Drosophila melanogaster: one gene and its partners. The protein of the gene in region 2 interacts with the protein of the main gene of each other region in a pairwise test. Each region holds a gene or a part of one and is shown on either strand. Other genes may lie near its edges.

What was found.
Region 1: the proteins of CG12723 (region 2) and Rox8 interact in a two-hybrid assay, tested with the Drosophila melanogaster proteins (one large-scale study listed by BioGRID).
Region 3: the proteins of CG12723 (region 2) and CG15919 interact in a two-hybrid assay, tested with the Drosophila melanogaster proteins (one large-scale study listed by BioGRID).
Region 4: the proteins of CG12723 (region 2) and Ccp84Aa interact in a two-hybrid assay, tested with the Drosophila melanogaster proteins (one large-scale study listed by BioGRID).

Annotation. Positions count from the first base shown.
Region 1 is NT_033777.3:24,042,499-24,049,884, forward strand, and holds Rox8 (Rox8), read right to left. Parts: upstream 5,768-7,386; 5' UTR 5,615-5,767; exon of another isoform or gene 5,292-5,614; intron 5,224-5,291; exon of another isoform or gene 5,001-5,223; intron 4,871-5,000; exon of another isoform or gene 4,690-4,870; intron 4,515-4,689; exon of another isoform or gene 4,440-4,514; intron 3,994-4,439; 5' UTR 3,168-3,993; coding exon 2,940-3,167; intron 2,769-2,939; coding exon 1,860-2,768; intron 1,793-1,859; coding exon 1,699-1,792; intron 1,648-1,698; coding exon 1,466-1,647; 3' UTR 558-1,465; downstream 1-557. Other genes in the region: CG5986 (uncharacterized protein), read left to right, coding at 5,834-5,929, 5,988-6,590; Atg6 (Autophagy-related 6), read right to left, coding at 6,761-6,866, 6,921-7,386.
Region 2 is NC_004354.4:13,189,086-13,193,844, forward strand, and holds CG12723 (uncharacterized protein), read right to left. Parts: upstream 2,799-4,759; 5' UTR 2,688-2,798; coding exon 1,917-2,687; intron 1,852-1,916; coding exon 951-1,851; intron 888-950; coding exon 682-887; 3' UTR 558-681; downstream 1-557. Other genes in the region: Coq5 (coenzyme Q5), read right to left, coding at 4,247-4,549, 4,603-4,759.
Region 3 is NT_033778.4:16,790,976-16,793,680, forward strand, and holds CG15919 (uncharacterized protein), read left to right. Parts: upstream 1-1,666; 5' UTR 1,667-1,681; coding exon 1,682-1,806; intron 1,807-1,897; coding exon 1,898-2,105; 3' UTR 2,106-2,204; downstream 2,205-2,705. Other genes in the region: RalGPS (Ral GEF with PH domain and SH3 binding motif), read left to right, coding at 1-376; CG15615 (uncharacterized protein), read right to left, coding at 2,333-2,705.
Region 4 is NT_033777.3:6,702,043-6,705,411, forward strand, and holds Ccp84Aa (Ccp84Aa), read left to right. Parts: upstream 1-2,041; 5' UTR 2,042-2,104; coding exon 2,105-2,116; intron 2,117-2,171; coding exon 2,172-2,777; 3' UTR 2,778-2,861; downstream 2,862-3,369. Other genes in the region: Ccp84Ab, read right to left, coding at 36-689, 766-777.

The DNA of each region.
Region 1 (7,386 bases), on a different chromosome or scaffold from region 2:
GACACATTGAACCAGCTTCAACGCAGCTCGCCCACCCGGAATTTGAGTTCTTTGACTAGTTACTAAACACAGATACAAAAAAAAACTACATGCATATAAAACTATATATATAAAGAAATCTATAGAATACGCTAAATAAAATCGATTTCAAGAAACATCAATTGCATTCTTAATCATCAACAAAATTCTAAGCTATTGGAAACCATTGGTAGTGTATTGAGAATTGAGCAACGGCTGACATCACCAGGTGCATTTAAATTAAGAGAAAGTAAGCAGAAGAATTAAGCATTCATGAAAACTAGTTTCGCAGAAAAACTGCGTCTCACTAGAGAATATTAAAGCTATAAAATTCATTCATGTATGTATGTTATACCTTAAGAAAACTTTTTAGCACAATTGTAAAAGTTAATTACTTTTTAACTATATTTTAGACTCCGCTGAATCCTCCACCAGATTTGTAGTAGTAGTAACCACTTCTATCATCAATGATATAAATTAAAGTTTGAAATAATAATTCCACATCCTAATTCATTACCTCAATATAAAAACCAGCGTCCCTTCGTTTTCTCACTTGTTTTATATATTTTTTTGCTTCTTTATTTTACATTTTACATATTTATATCGCATTTCGTTTTCCACATTGGAAATATACAATATGTATGCTCGAATTTACATTCTCTTAGTGACTAAATTTGTTTTTCCTCTTGTTTTTGCATTCGGCTTGCTTGCTTGCGGCTATCCTTTCATCCCACTGAAACTACCCTCTTTCCGTCTTCAGTTTTCGTTGACACATGTTCCACATAGTTACAATTACAATTTGCTTTGTCACGTTTTTGTTTCGATTGTTTTCTTTTTGTTTTAACTCTGTCGCGCGTAATTAGCATTTTCTCTTTTCAGTTTTTATTTGTTTGTTTTTGTTGAATTTCTCATTCGGTTTATTTTATTTCCGTTTCGTTTATACGCCTATATCTGCTTAAATTAGAAATCATTAAATTAATTTAACACGTACTTAGATTGGATTAGATTGTTACAGCTACCCGCCCATCGCCCGGAGCTTTTCAATTGATGTTCTTTCAGTTGTCGCCGGCGTGGATCACTTGAAGTTGAGCTCCACGCACCGCCTTAACGTTCGACTTTGGGGGGCTATATACCACACCCGATTCCGCTTCCTTCCACCGCAGTCAGCCGCAACCGTAGCCACAACTTCAAAGTGGACACTCGCGCATCCTTAATAATCTCCAGATACATTGCCACCGTCAATGTGGCTGCTGCCGCTGGTCAACGGCATGGCCAGGAGCGGCTCCGACTTTGCTACTACTCGGTATTGTACGTAACCTAAACGTGCGTAATGCGCTTGCAACTGCTGCAGGTGCGGAAGCTGATGCAGCAGAGGTGGTTGTGGCTGCGGCTGGGGGCGACTTCCCGGATGCTGCAAACGGCGTCGAAGCTGGCGTCACATCTCAGCTCATTGGGTCTGGTATTGTGGCATCGCAGCACTGTACATCATTTGGGGGGCAAGTGATCCGTTCGCTGCAGCGGCCGCGGATGCTGCGGCAGCCGTCACACCGGGCACCACAGTTCCGGGCACGCCCCATGCTACATTCGGCGGCACCATGCGGTATCCAGCCGCTGAAAATTGTATGCAAGCTGTTTAAGCCAAGGTCACGATTATTCAGCAACTGAGAAAAGTAAACTTACGGACTCCTCCCGCTTGCTGAGCACTGGTAGGGTAGGCGTAGGGATAGTAGCCCTGCTGCATGTATTGCGTCTGCATCTGGGTTGTGGGATAAGTCTGCAGAAAAGCACAAAGTTAGGGTCAATCTTTAGGTCACTGCGTATTTAAAGAATACAACACTTACCGCAGGTGGATACCAGTAGCCCATCTGCTGGTACGCGTATGGATACTGCGCCGCAATCTGCTGGGGTGTCATCATTTGGCCGGGTATCGCCGCTCCTGTTGCGGCGGCGATCTGTTGCTGCGTCATCATCTGACCGGGCATACCCGCTCCAGCGGCAACCGCAGCATTGGCTGCCGCAACGGCGGCAACATTGGCAGAGGCTGCTGCCGCGGCAGCGGCGGCATTGAGGTTATTGGCCGAGTTATCGCCTCCGTTCTCTTTGCCCCAGAAGCACTTTACCAGGTTTCCATGTACCTCGCTGTTGTGCGTGTGCTCGATGGCGTGGGCGGCTGCCTCCTTGGTAACAAACTTGATGAACGAGAAGCCCTTGTCCTTGAAGACCCGCACGTCCTGGATGGGACCAAACTGGACGAAGTGCTTGTGCATCAGGTCGTCACTGATGACATTCGGCGGGAATCCGCCACAGTATACGGTGGTGTTGGTGGGGCTCGACTGGTTATACACTTCCTCGAAGGTGTGGCGTTGACTTCCCTTTACACCGGACCCATTGCCCGGTCCGCCACCCATTCCGCCTCCCTGGCCTCCGCCCTTGGAAGGCTCGCGTGGTGGTGGCAGCTTGCGCGTGGACCAGTTGGTGCGTATCGAGCGCGAGCCAATCCACTGGCCGTTCATCGCCTGGATGGCGTTCTCTGCCTCCGCCTTTTTCACAAACGACACGAAGGCGTAACCCTTTGACTTCATGGTGTGAGGGTCGCGCACAATGCGACAGTTGGAGATCTCTCCGAATGGGGCGAAAGCCTCGCGCAGTGTTTCTGTCTCAATCTCGGGACTGAGGTCGCCCACGAATATGTGGTGGTGCGAACTGATGTCTGTCTTCGGCTGATTGCCGGGACTGGTGGCCCAGTTGACCTGCGAAGAGCATTCGTTTAATAGGTAATAATCAATTAAGTTCTACATAATTAAAATAACATGAGGGCTTGGTCGTGGGGAATGTGTGTGTTGCAAGAGTGTAGTTTCGAACAAAATGAATGAAAATGACCGCTGTCCACTTGATAACTTAAGAGAAGCTAATCAGCTTACCTTGATTTCCTTTTCGAGGAATAGGCGTTTATTCATGGCGGTCAGAGCTGTTGTGGCTGCCTGGTAGTTGGAATATTCGATGAAGGCATATGGATCGTTGCCCGGTTCCCGAATGATTTTGCAGCTTTTGACGGGCCCCATGGTGCTGAAGAGGGCAATTAGCAGGTCCTCGGACACTGAGCTATCCAGGTTGCCCACGTATAGGGTCTTCGGTTGCGACTCGTCCATGGCTGTCGGATGTCACGGGACTGTGGCTTTTTTGATCTGATTATACACTAGGCTACAGCGACAATCTACTGACTCTACACTAAAACCGGAATTGCAACTACTGCACCTGGCCGCATTAATCGGAAGGGGATGTATCAAAAATTTGCAGATTAAGTTCCTAGCTACGTACAAAATCTAAAGTGTCTGCTAATTAAACAGGTGTATTTGCGGCAATCTAATTGGTGCTAGCTGCTAACAGGAAACTCCAAGAGAGATTTGAATACTTTGATTTTCTACTACTTTCGACTTACTCTCGGCTTGGCTTGATTTTTTTGGATTATATAAACTTTATATGCTCAATCTAGGTAGGTTGATCTATTTGCTTAACGCTGAGGTTCGTCGTTTATTGCTTTATTTTGTTCCTAATCTGGCGCCTAATTGAAAATTTCGTTAAACATCTATATGTATACGTATAAATATATCTGTCCTAACTAAACGCTAATGGAGTGTTTTGGAATATACGATTAGTCGCCTAATATATATGTCTATAATCGGTTGACTTCCTTTCCTGGGGGCCTGGGATTTGGATTCGGGGTTTCTTGGTGTACACTACTTGGTATTTCAGAATTGCTCGATCCTTCTTCGATGATCCGGATGTTGTTGTTGTGATTATAAATAGTTGTCCGTTCCAATATACAGGATTGTATAAATGTACATATGAATACTTGGTTGCGACTACTTATTCTTGCTCTTGTACAAAAATTAGTTAGCTAAGTTAAACAGCGTGAAAGTTCGCAGGCTGAGTGTACTTTTCGGGTTTCGAAGCTGACCCCTGGAATCGTTGCTGCTGTAAAAGAGAGAGGTAAATTTGGGTTAGTTTTGCGCTGATAACCGGAAGAGTGGGACAAGGTCTAATGGCACATGATCGGTGGGCCTTAAAACAGGCGCAAATGATATGGATATAAATCGACTACCCCGCCCCGCCCCCTTTTCGCATGATGGGAACAAAGAAGGCGGCAAAGCAGTGCAGGGACACGCACACACAGACGCACGCTCACACACACTGGCGCACACGAAAAACACGGGGAGAGTGAGTGAGCTATCTTCGGAGCGAGAGAGGCGGGTGGGAAAGGACAGGGGAAAGAGACTGCCTGTCTTTATAACAAAGCGAATGGCCAACAATTGACAATAGCCATTCATTCGCAACAAATTTGCGGGCCTTGCAAAATGATTTAGTTTATAATTAATATATTTCTGTATTCACATTTACAAATTTTTTTTTGGGCCACTCACGCACAGCACACAGAAATGCACACTCAGGCACGCCAGCGAGACGAGGGCGAAAGGAGAACGACGAAAATCGACTAGAAGATGAATGACCGTCGATAACAAAATGAGGAGAAAGAAAAACAGGGAAAAGGAAGAGAAAGATGTGGGAAATTTTGCGAAACCGGCGGGCGGGTGACACACACGGTTGCATTAGATTCGTGTTCTTCTTCTTCACACTTTGCGAAATCAAATTTTAATTTGCATAGAACTAAACTTGATTTTGATTATTTCTGCGGCGGCGGCGCTAGAAAATGTCAGTCAAAGTCACAGAACTGAAGAGACGGCGAAAAGGGAATGGCGGGGTGGTTTTGGTTGCTCATTTGCTGCTTATTTTCTTCGTCTCTTTTTCGCACACACACTGACACATTAGCACCGACACGCACACACACACACGCAGAGAGAGGCGTCTTGCGCTGGTCTTTTTGTTTGCGTTTTCCTCACATGAGTCTCCACTTTTCTTTTGCTTTTGCTTTTTTCCGCTTTTGGCTATTGAGTGTATTTAAACTAATGCCAATATACCAATACCAAGACGATTTGAATGCGGGACTTTTCATTTGCCTTTTCAGCTTGCCGCTATATGTACGTATATGTATGTATCTTGTTCGCTTTTGTGCTGCCATCTTTTAATGCCGCTCCCCCGCCACCAACAACCGCCACGCCTCCGCCCCGACCCTGCTGCCTGACAGCGGTGCCGAAAACTGGGCTTAACAATTATCGTCCCCGCCGCACTATAGTGCATTCGCTTAATGTCCATTGTTCAGACTCGAATTTCGCTGTCAAAATTCGCACTCTCTTCTTTTTTCTTTAATGCGCTCTCTGTGACGTGGCTGCGTTTGTAAATTTACCGCATTTTACTTGCTCTGCACTCTGTTCGCACACTTCATTTGACGGTCAAGTTTAGCCGCTACCGGTTTGTATTAATTTTGCGAAACTTTCAAAGTTGTTAGGGGCTGCAAATGTACGTTGAACGCGTCGCTAAAATTTTACCTTCGTCGTCTAAAATGCGAACTAATTAATGAGATTTTGTGTGCGAGAGCCAGGGCTGCCAACTTGCTGAGAAATAAAAACGCAATGGCGGCAAGATGGGAAATGCAATAAAGAGTATGGACTTGACAAGATTTTTTTATAAAATTACTTACGTAGGGGTATTTAATGGAAATTCAGCGATAATATGACAAGGATCACACATTAATTCGCGACTTTAAGTTATTTGAAGCAACGTTATCGAAAAGGGGGCAACCCTAGGGCAGGCGATAACGCTTGCATCACCGCTTTCTCTCTCTAACACACTCACCGCGGGCGCAAATGCAGCACAAAGCAGACTAGAAATAACAATCGTTATCGAAAAGGTCGTCGAAATGGGCATAAATATTTTTATAAACAGTAAATATATAATTTCTTGTGGAGATCACGTTAAATGTGATGAGCTTTACAGTCGGATTGCGGAGAAAACAGTGAGTATGTTATGTATAATTTTCATAAGATTTTGCAATGTGGCCCTTTTTTTTACAGAACCTGCAACCAGGGGAATACTACTTAGTCAGCAATGGCAAGCGCTTGGAGGGAGAAATTTCATCTGGAGATGTTCACTGCGTTCTCCGCCAGCTCGGTGGCAAAGGAGGATTTGGTTCCATGCTTCGAGCCATTGGTGCGCAAATTGAAAAGACAACCAATCGCGAGGCTTGCCGCGATCTAAGTGGTCGCCGTTTGCGGGATATCAACGAGGAGAAGCGGGTGCGCGCCTGGCTGGAGAAGCAGGGCGAACGGGAACGGGAGGCCGAGGAGCGTAAAAAGCGAAAAATCGAGAAACTGCTGGCCGTGCCCAAGCACGACTTTAAGGACGATAAGTACGAGGAAGCCAGGGCTAATCTGACCGAGAAGGTAAACGACGCCTTCGAGGAGGGACTCAAGCAGGCCGAGGAGAACAAGGAGAAAGGCGTCGAGGAAGCAACTTCCAGTGGCACAAAGAGGAAATCCCCCGCCGTAGACAAGACCAAGGCAAAAAAGAAGAAAAAGGGCACACTCTGGATAGACGATGACATCTCTGGATCCGACTCTGACTCTGACGACAGCGAGGAGGAGCCAAAAACACAGAAAAAAGCTATACAAAACTAGATAAATAACTTTTGAATTAAGTATGTACCAAAGACGTTCTTATTTCAAAATTTACCTGAAATAAACATAACAATATAAATACTTCTCATTTAAAATTTGAAAGATTTAGATTTAATACTATGGGGATAATTAAGTAATTTATAAATATACATTTAAAAGAGAAAGAAAAATCACGGTGACACAAACTGTGAAGAAACCCAGGCCAATCCCCATTTCAGGTTGGTTAGCATGAATTTCAGTGCCTTGGTCCACTGCTCCTCCGAGTTAAACTGGATTCTGTAAGGAAACCATCATTATTATAGGTAAAATCTTTACCATTTCTAAACCTACTTAATAGAATAGGAATTTCCCGTGGAGGGATCGATGATCTTGCCCTTCTCCATCTTGTAGGGCAGCAGGAACTCGGTGTCGCGCTTCTCGACCTCCTTCTGGAACTGGGTAAGACAGTCGAGAAAAGCTACCATGGCAGCATCAAACTTGGTGTCCCAGAAAAACTTAAATCCGCCGCTGCCATAAAGCGGGAGCTCTCGATTCTCGCCGAGCACCTCAACATACGAATGATTTCCAAAGGGTACTACACGATACCGCTCGAAGGTGAGCCCTATCTTACGAGCAAGCGCAGAGAGCAGAAGCACCGTCTGGCCCCAAGCGGCGTTGATCTCTGACCAGTCCACGGATACAGAGGGCAATCGACCCAGCCTAAAGTTATTAATGGTACCGAAATGCCCGGCATGCCAGATGTGAAAGGTGATGTTGAATATGTTGGTGTCGCGCAGTTTGTCCAGCTGCTGTTTCG
Region 2 (4,759 bases):
ATCGCGGATCGGTGGATCCAAAAATATATATGCGCGGTATATAGTCGGAATATAGTCGATTTTTGGTCCGCAGCAGACGCGCGTTCGCCGCCAACGATAACAAACAACTGAGCTGAAAAAAAGGCGAGCGAATGCCTGCAACATGTGGCATGCGGCCTTTCCAGGTGCCCCGCCCACTGGCGCCGCCCAGCCGACCGCCCAACCGCCCACTTTTCACCCAACCAAGCACACAACGCACTCATTCAGCGCGCCGGCTGGCAATTTATGAATGAAAAGCTGAACGGGAAAAGCTCCAAAGAAACCAACGAACGCCAAGTTCAAGGTGAAAAGCCCTTTGGGGGAAAAGCGCGCGCCGGAAAAGCTCAGGAAATGAAAATGCGCCGAGCCAAAGGGAATTTCCTAATGAAATTCAAATAGATAATATGTATGTGCCAAAAGGAAATAAACTAAGATATTATGTCTATATCTCGCATATACTTTGCAATAGAATTAGTTATTTAAATTATTTATTATATTTATTATTATTACGCAATAAATAAACGATCTGTTCAATTTTTCGATAAATAACTTATTTAATAGCAACATAATTTACAATACAAGTAGAGCACAAATGAACGAAGGCTTAAAAAAAAAAAACAAAAAAAAATTTGAAAAGATCCCTAGGTGGAGTGAGTGGTGGACTCAGTAGTGGTGGTAGTTGTGGCCCTGTTGCTGCTGTTGCTGCTGCTGCTGCTGCTGCTGGTGCTGCTGCTGCGCCAAGTTGGCCTGGGCGAAAATGTGCTCCAGCTCGGCATCGGTCAGCTGGTCAAAGATGCCGCCCTGACCACCGATTCCGGCACTACTGGCACTCAGGGCCGACGGTTGGGATCCCACGGGTGGCAGGTAACCTGGAAAATATTCGTTTGAAATATAGCATAATAATATATATCCATAACGTCATCTGAGCTCACCTTCAGCTGGCGCACTTCCGTATGGCGGGAGCAGGGTGATCGAGGGTCGATTCGGCGACGCTGGCGCGGATTCGGTGGGTGGACTATAGAATACCGGCTTCCAGGGCTGCTGGACGGATGGCCGCTGTGGTGGCACCTCCGACGGCGTCTCCGGCTCGGGTGATTGTGGGGGAATCTGCGGCGAGGCTATACCCGTGCCGGATTCAGGGCGGACGGGAGTGGAGCCCGGCAGCGGTACAATTCCGCCGGGGAATTGCGACTCTGGTTGGCCAAAAGTGGGTGGCTGCTGCGGCAATGGTGGCTGTGGAGCAGCCGGAAAGAATTGGCTAGTTGGTGGACTGGGGAAGGCCGGGACCGTGGGTACAGCTGGAACTCCTGGAACGGAGGGAGGTGATGGAATGGCTGGCGCCTGGGGGAACTGGGGAATCTGGGGAAAGCCGGGAAATTGAGGGAATCCGGGAAATTGTGGTATTTGGGGTATCTGCGGTATGGCCGGAATCTGTGGAATGGCGGGAACCTGTGGCACTTCTGGGGCTTCTGGTGCAGCTGGAACTGCCGGCTGGGCGGGCACAGCGGGTTGGGCTGGCACCGCTGGCTGAGCGGGCTGGAAGCTAAAGGTCGGCACACCGGGGAACTGAGGCGGTTGTGGGAACTGAGGGATCACCGGCAAATCCACAGCTGGGGGAGACGGAACACCGAAGGTCACTGTAGGTTGGATGGGTTGAACCGGTTGAAGGGGCTGAACCGGTTGGATTGGGCTAACTGGCTGCAGATGGGTGGTCACCGGTTGCACCGGTTGAAGGGGCTGAATGGGCTGGAGATGATGAACTGGCTGCACTGGCTGCACGGGCTGAACAGGCACTGCCGGAGCAGTCGGAGCATAGGTCTGCACATAAGTGGGCTGCAACAGAAAAGAATGAAATGGTCAACGGGATATTCCACAAGTTTCCTATGTAGCTAACTCACCTGCACGGCATGCACATGGCCATGAGCCGGAGCATGGAAGTGGACAGGCTTTACGGCGGACTGAAAGACCACGGGCTTCTGCAGGTGCTGGTGCGGATAGTTGACGCTGTACGAGGAGACGACCGCATTTCCGGGACGCAGGACGTACGAGGGCGGAGCCACGGCGGTGGACAAAGCGGTGGCCACGCCGGTGGACAAGGCAGTAGCGACTCCGGCGGGAATGGCACTGGCCACGCCACCGGGCAGACCGGTGGGCAATCCAACGGGCAGGGCTGAGGCGACGGCGGGCAGCAGGGCAGCGGGTGCGGGAGCTAAGGCGGGCAGCAAACCGGAACCGGAAACGAGCGGCTTGACCAGACCATGGCCGTATTTGACGAAGTGGCGGCGCGGAGGAGCGGCGGCCAGGAAGGCACTGCCTCCTGGCAGCTGCAGGCTATAGCCGTAGTGGGCGGCATAGGTGCGGGCGGGCCATTGGCCGTGCAGGTGGGCGTGGCCGTGTAGAATGCCACGCTTGTGCTTTCCGGTCGTGACCTCCACTTCCGTTTCCGGTTCGGTAACCACACTGGCCGTTGGGGCACTCTCCGCCACCGATTCCTCTTGTAGCGGGGCATCCTCGGAGGTCACTGTCAAAGTGGGCGTTGTGCTGGCGGGGGGCGTGACCGATCGACTGGTGTGACGCAAACGTAAGCCCGCCTCAGCTCGATGAGAAACCAAGATGACAGCCAAGACCATCAGAAGATGGAGGCTCCTCGAACTGGCCAAGAGATTCATTTCGATTCAGTGGACTTGATTTCTATATGCGTATATTTGGACACTATGTAATATATCGCCTCGCCTCGCGTTTAATCCGTTTGCTGCGATCGCCGACAAGAAAATGAAATGAACTTCCTTGGTCGCTGTTGTATTTATAAAGCGGACATCGCGGCACAGTGGAGTGGCACATACCCACTGTGCATACCAATCGGTGGCACTGGTGGTGCTAGCAATGCACCACCGTCAGCGGCTCATCGGCATGGCATACGGCATGGATTGGGCAGTTTATGACTTTTACGCTGCCATTTCACCTGCCGCAATCGAAGACCCCTCACCCACTGACCACTGACCACTGAGCAGCGCCTCATTATGCTGCGCCACCTGACCACGCACTGTGGTACCGTAGATTGTGCGCATATATATGGTATGTATATTCCTCAAGTATGGAATATTCCTACTACACTTCATATCTAAGTTTACTTCTTATTCAGATATCGAGATTATTATCATAAAAATCTAAAAGGCTAAAACTCTATATAGTTTGCCAACAACTTTGCCCACTAGTCCCACTGATTGCCTGGCCCCGCTCCACTGTCCCATTGGCCGGAATCCACCTACGCATGCGCAGCACGTTGCCGCACGCACCAAACTTTTGCTTTCAATGGCCTGCATGTTCCGCATGCTTTTTGTGCTCAGTTTTTTTTGTTTTTTATCGCCGGACTCTTTTCACTTTCGATTGCCGGAGATGGAAGGTCCGAAGGTTTATGATTTGGCTGCAATTTAGATACAAATCAAATGTGTCTCCGCTTACATAATCCGGCCAATAATATGGGCGGCTATTCGGGTGTCCAATCCGTGTTAATCAGTCGCCGGGTGAAAGCATAATAAAGCCATTGTAATAAAAGCAAAAGCGCACAATTGCAAAGCACCAATTAGCAATTACCTATTAAGCATGGCACGGTCAATTATTTTGATGGCATTTCAATGCTATTATTTGAATTTCGTTAAAATTCAACATTCACACGCATAAATTTCACCTGCACTACATCTGATGGCGAACTGAAGTCAATAGATAAGTGGATAGTTTCTGCATTATATCACATCCCATCGCCGTAAATGGACTTTCGATTAGCCTACATGGAGATTTTCACTTTTTTTTGGAAACGACCCGTTGGGTGTGTGGAATTTAAATCGATTACAGTGCCTTACACCTGGCATCTGGTACAGTTCGGTTATTGGGCTACCACCATATCGCCCTTTGCATCTAAGTGGGTCTGGCACACAATCCTCAAGGTCTTTCCCAGGCCTTGCCGCCGGAGATGTCATCAGTTTGCCGTTTGGGTTTGCCTTTTGGCACATGAAGTACATATATTTGACAAAGAGCTACATAAACCTCAAAATGTAAACATACAGAAATAAAAGCCGCCAGAGGAGCTTGTTTAATTCGATGCTTTATGACCTGCCCGACGTGAGCAGCATGAAAAAACGCAAAAAACCAACAATATAGATTATAGTTAAGCCCCATCAAATGGTCTTAGGATTTCCTAATCGCTTACAACAAATATCATCCTCGGCTGTCACAGTTTGAAGCCGGAGTGAATGCTGACCACGCCGAAGGTTAGGTTCTCGTAGGACACCTGATCGAATCCGGCCTGCTCGATCATTTGCTTGAATTGCTCCTGCTTGGGAAACCGTCGGATGCTCTCAACGAGATACTGGTACGCCTGCCACTGACCAGCCAGCAATTGGCCCATGGGCGGAATCACCTGGAAGGAGTACTGGTCATATAGCCATTGCATCGTTTCGTTCGTCAGATGACTGAACTCCAGGCACATGAATCGTCCGCCCGGCTGCAGCACTCGATACGCTTCAGAAAGAACCTTAGATGGAAGGGAGAAATAAGTACAAAGAGTACATTTCATGATCCGCCTACCTTATCCACATGTGTGCAGTTCCTGATGCCAAAGGCAATAGTGTAGGCCGTAAAGCTAGCGTCCGGGAAGGGCAACTTCTCGGCATCGGCGCACTGCCATGCGACGGTGCAGTTGGACAGCTGGTCGGTGGTAAGTCCCAGCCTCTTGGCCCGCTCC
Region 3 (2,705 bases), on a different chromosome or scaffold from region 2:
GCACGGATGTGTCCGGCGTAAAACAGTTCAAAAGGAGGGAAGGAAGCCAGCGGTGGCATCTTGGCAACGATACTGGCTACAGATTTGGGCCAACTCGCTGGTGTATTTCCCACCCAAATCCTTTAAAGGAAGCGAACGCAACGACTTTAAGCGGGAACCGTGCAAAGTGTGTCCATTGGATGGATGGTATGCCCACGTGAGCGATAACACCAAGCACAAGAACACCTTCGAACTGTGCCACCGAACTCTGGGCACCGTCTATCGCTTCCGGACGGACAGTCCCCAGATGACGCATCTCTGGTCGAATGCCATTTGCAAATTGGCCACCATGCGAGTGCCCAAACCTCTGCCCACCAACCTAATGTCCTTTGAATAAGCCGGGCGCCCAAGAACACACAGAAACTCGAATATATATTGTACTCATTGTAGCCTAGTTTATCTAGTTTAGTTAGCTTTAAACCTTGAAACGTGCACAGCCAAAAAAAAAAACACCCACCCACCACATCGCTCACTCACTCCCTGAAACGAGGCAACCACAGAACATTCCCGCAACCACAACGAACGAACAAATTGCAGCTTGCATCAGATGAATCGATTTCAAAATGGTATTTCAAAAGACTGACACCGAATGAGAACACGAAGATATAGTAAAGGAGGAGCAGTACTACGAAAGTAGCCACACAATCACAACAACAACAACAACAACAGACTAAACCGTCAACGCAGGGAAATTAGAATCCCAAATTTGTAATGGCCCTGTTATAAAAGTCCAATTTTATTTGAATTTGAATGTATCGGAAACGGAATTGATAAAACGGCTTGTCATCGAATATATATTTATTTTAAGATTGTTCAGTGACCCAGAATTTAGAAATGTAGTAAAATCTGTAAATGGGATCCAATACTACTAGCTAAAAACCAGTTTATTTCCGAATTCGCTTAGCTTGGCAACAGGGCTGTCTTTTTGTTAATGTGCTGTCTTTGCTGTACTTTGTATTTGTAAAATGTTATATTAAGTAAATTACTTGGACGTTTACTCAACTTAATTTTGCGCAGACTGTGCCATATTAGTTTATAAATTTATGTGTCTACACAAACACTGTTGGCCAGCAAACGAATCCAAATTCGATTTGCCCAGCTCCTAACTTTGTAACGAAAAATCAAAAATCCAACGAACTTTCTACGCGTAACTAAGGGCTTTAATATTGTGTATCGCTACCACTATCATGATCAACATCCGTTAATCTCTATATCTGCCTTAAGTTGATGCACTAGACATAAATAGAGCTATAAAGTACATATGTACGTATCAACAACAAATGCATGCGTAAATTATAGGAAACGAAAGTAATGTTAGTGTTTCTTTTTTTCGGTTGAGAAATTGAATTGTAACACCTAAGCTTTGTCACACATACAGATTATCATTTGCAGTGTTTTACATTACATTTAAGAAAGAAATGCAACAAAAACAAAATAAACTACAAAATGAAAGAAAAGAAATGTGCGTTATATAAGGCATCTAGGGTTATTCACAACCCAATCAGATCGTGCAAAGTGCGGGAATTTGCAATTCATTTGCACAGACGCACTGAATCACAATTAGGGAGCTCGGCTTGCCGTGAAACTGGAGGCCTTTAAAACGTGAAGATTGGCTAATAGCCTCGCCAGTCGATTGCGAAACATGAAAGCGGCGAAAAGTGGCGACAGGATGGCGTATCCATGGATTAAAATGAGGCCCCTGCTGATGCTGACAGTAATATTGGTCATTTTCTTCAGCTACGGCCTGGCCGGCAAGACGACCACCATGTGAGAGGATTACGCAACTAGCCAGCCACTAGACCACTTTCACTAACTAATCCACTAATCCATCCTCCTTTCTCCCTTTCGAAAAACCCAGCGTTAGCCACACAGACACCCTCGATCCGCAGGCCGATGGCTTCTGGGTCAACAAGACGACGTGGAACGCTCGCTGGGTAAAGTACTGGCGGGCCAAGAAGATCTACGAGCCGGTGTGGAAAAAGGTCTGGACACCCACCATTCACAACGAGTGGGTGCCCTTGCCCAATGTGCCCAATGAATGGGAGGCGGAAAAGGATCGCTCCTAAAAATAGCACTGAGACTGAAACATAGGCTAAGATTATTTATGGTTTAGTTGTTTATATTTTATTTTATATTCACTGGTAATTAAAGTCTAGAGATAATTTAAAGTGGCGCCAAGGCAAATGGAAGTGGAAATGGATGGCCTTATGAGCTAGCGACTGGTTTACGACTATTTACAAGGAGCTTGGAACCGGGCGCTGTTATGCAACCGTTTAGGTGATGCAATGACCTCCTACGCGCCGGGAAACTTGAATGACTGCGAGGTGGTGGCCACCGAGGCGGCAGGTGCTGCTACGGGGGATTTAGCTGCCTCCAGAGACTTGGCCTGGAAGTCGGCGCTGGCCACTGGCTGCAGCATTGTTGGCTTGCCAGCGGCATTGGTGTCATCTCGTTTCCAGACCACCTTATCTTTGCCATCTGCCGTCCTGGTGGCCGTAACACCTGTGTCCTTGCGATCCCAATCATGGTGCTCATGATGATGATGATCGTGGTGATCGGGCGAGGGGAACCATTCTGAAATGACCACTGGCTTCCAGATCTTTTTCCATCCAGGCACCCAGATCTCCTTCCAGCCGGGCACCCAAATCTGCTTCCATGCCTCCTTC
Region 4 (3,369 bases), on a different chromosome or scaffold from region 2:
TTCTATATATGTACAGCGTCGATTTTAGCCAGGATCTAGTGGTGGTAGGCGACGGCGGGAGCCGAGTACGAGGTGTAGGTGGCAGCGGGGGCGGCATAGTGGGCGGGAGCTGCGTAGTGGGTGGGAGCAGCATAGGTGGCATATGCAGCGGGGGCAGCATAGTGAGCCACTGGGGCCACAGTCTTGACCACAGCAGGAGCAGCGTAGTGGGCAACTGGAGCAACGGTCTTGACCACAGCGGGAGCAGCGTAGTGGGCGACAGCAGGGGCGGCGTATTGGGCAACGGGAGCGGCGACGGTCTTCACAACGGGGGCAACGGCGACGGCCTTGACCAGGGGCTCACGGTTGACAACGGCGTTGAATCCGTTGATGGGATCGGCGGTGTACTGGACGGTCCTCTTGTAGCCGTCAGCGTCGATCAGGGAGTACTCTCCGCGTACCACATCTCCATCGCGCTCCTCCACCTGTCCCTTGTTGTCACCGGTTAGCTTGTCATCGACTCCGTAGGAGAAGCGGTACTGGGGGTGGGGGTCGTACTCCTCGGCGGCCTTGACCACGACCTTTTGGGCGACGGCCACGGGGGCGTGGGCGTAGGTGGCCACCGCTGGGGCAGCATGGTACACCTGTGGGGCGGCGATGGGAGCATAACCGGCGCTGGCCACGGCGACGAAGGCGAGGGCGAAGACAAACTAAATTCAAGAGCGTTAGATATCCAACCGGAATTTCGTATACAGTTGATCCCGGATTTCCATCGAGATGACTCACCTTGAAGGCCATGTTGCTAGGAGTGCTGATTGGTAGTTCTTTACAGAAGTGAACTGGATCTGCGAATGATACTTTTCTGTGTCCGATCGACAACTTTTATAGTAAATCAAGCTGCCAGCTCTGCTCTGCTTTGGCCCAATACGCCGACAGCACGTGTTATTTTCGCGGTGACAGCGAAATATATTAAATGCTTCTCGACTGCGATTGTTGTCGGGCAATAACTTGTACTTCCTGTTCGTGGCGCTAAGCTCAGTGGGTGTGCAAATGCTTGTGGCCACAGATTCTAAACCCGTCAGCACCGAAAGAGTGAAAGATCTTTGGGGAAAGGTTTGCGTAATACCGAAAGGGCTTTGCCGGCCGCAATGTGTGGCTAATTACTTTGTTATATAACGCTGTATAAGATCGCTTTAAGAAGATATACTGATCATATATTTTTTTCTTACAAAGCAAATCGCAAAATTTTGATTAGGTTTTTTTAAAGATTTTCGAATCTTTAGAGTTCACTGTGCAATCTGATTGATATTCTTTAAATACTCTATACATATATGATTATAATTATACGAACGGATTTGCAATCTTAAAGAGTTGAATGAACTTTACACTGTGCTGGATAAGAAAAAACTCTTGAAAAAAGATTAATATTTTTTGAAATTGGTTGACACTACAAAAACTGTGGTTCTAAAAACTAAAAGCTAAGTTGGGTCTGCGTTAGTGTCCTAAGGAACACAACTACTTAGCTACATCTAAATACCTAACATTCTATTTACACTCAGATAATAATTTATCAGATACACATTTAAGAGTTTGGCATTTATGGGTCTTAGAACATAAACGTTAAAAATATATTACACAATGCATTATTTTTGTACAATATATAGAAAATCGCTGCTTCATTCAAAATAAATGCCCTTTTGCGAAGTCTGTGGGAATCAAGGCCACCCACCAGACATCCACGATCCCATCCTTAAAATATCTTGGATAATCGAAACGCTATTAGCAGATGCAATCCATTCCCAACTACCAATTTTAACGTGGGCACCGCGCGAATCCGCCGAATCCTTTCTAAATAATTGGACTGCATCTCGCATTCGCAAATCCCTTCTCCTCTCTTGGTTCTCTGCCGGCGTCTCTGCCGACTTTGCCGTTGACTTCGCAGAGCGGTGACTTCGCGCTAATTTGGAGCATGATATTCAGAAGGCCAAGCGTAAGCACCTTGCTTCACCTGAGCAGAAACTGCAAGCGGGAGCTATAAAACCGCTGGCCGGCCAGAAACCGTATCATTCAGCCATCAGCACCGTTTCCGCAAAGAACTAACCCACGAATCCAAAAACCCTATAAAATGGCATTCAAGGTGAGTCCTGTGGTATCCCACCAGAACCCGTTTCTCTAACGAATATGTTCCCCAGTTTGTCTTCGCCCTCGCCTTCGTCGCCGTGGCCAGCGCCGGTTATGCCCCCATCGCCGCCCCACAGGTGTACCACGCTGCCCCAGCGGTGGCCACCTACGCCCACGCCCCCGTGGCCGTCGCCCAGAAGGTCGTGGTCAAGGCCGCCGAGGAGTACGACCCCCACCCCCAGTACCGCTTCTCCTACGGAGTCGATGACAAGCTAACCGGTGACAACAAGGGACAGGTGGAGGAGCGCGATGGAGATGTGGTACGCGGAGAGTACTCCCTGATCGACGCTGACGGCTACAAGAGGATCGTCCAGTACACCGCCGATCCCATCAACGGATTCAACGCCGTTGTCAACCGTGAGCCCCTGGTCAAGGCCGTCGCCGTTGCCCCCGTTGTGAAGACCGTCGCCGCTCCCGTTGCCCAATACGCCGCCCCTGCTGTCGCCCACTACGCTGCTCCCGCTGTGGTCAAGACCGTGGCTCCAGTTGCCCACTACGCTGCTCCTGCTGTGGTCAAGACTGTGGCCCCAGTGGCTCACTATGCTGCCCCCGCTGCATATGCCACCTATGCTGCTCCCACCCACTACGCCGCCCCCGCTGTTGCCTACCACCCCTGAGAACTGACATTCCACATTGCCCAGCTCTTTATTGTTATAGTTTTACGAACGACTTCTATATATATAAAAATATATTTCACATTTAAAAAGGTTATATCACTGTATCCTATCCAAAGGATATGTATTTCCTGGGGCTCAATTCGATTCACGAAGCAATACAATTTATTGTAATTACTTTTGCTTCGTGAGGGCTAAATTAGAGTGGCTGTGTGGCCAATTAATTGAATTAGGCTGCGACATTGAAATTCCAAATTCCAAAATTCCAAAGTTTTAAAGTCAAATTGAATTTTTTCTTTCAATCGCTCCATTCCATTGAGATATCTATGATGTTCGATTCGGGTCTGGACGTTGGCCAATCCTATCAACGAATAATAAATCATAATCAGATCGGTGTGAAATATTCATGTGTGCTTATAAAAGCAATTAACGGATATATAATATAAACGATTTTTTCGTTTGCCGGATTTCGATTTGATTTTGCTAAATGGAACTTCAGTGACCGGCTTTCCCATTCCCCTCTTTGCTCGTACCTATTACCATTAATTTTTTGTATTTAAACAATAGAATAGACTGACTACAAATAGTACACTTC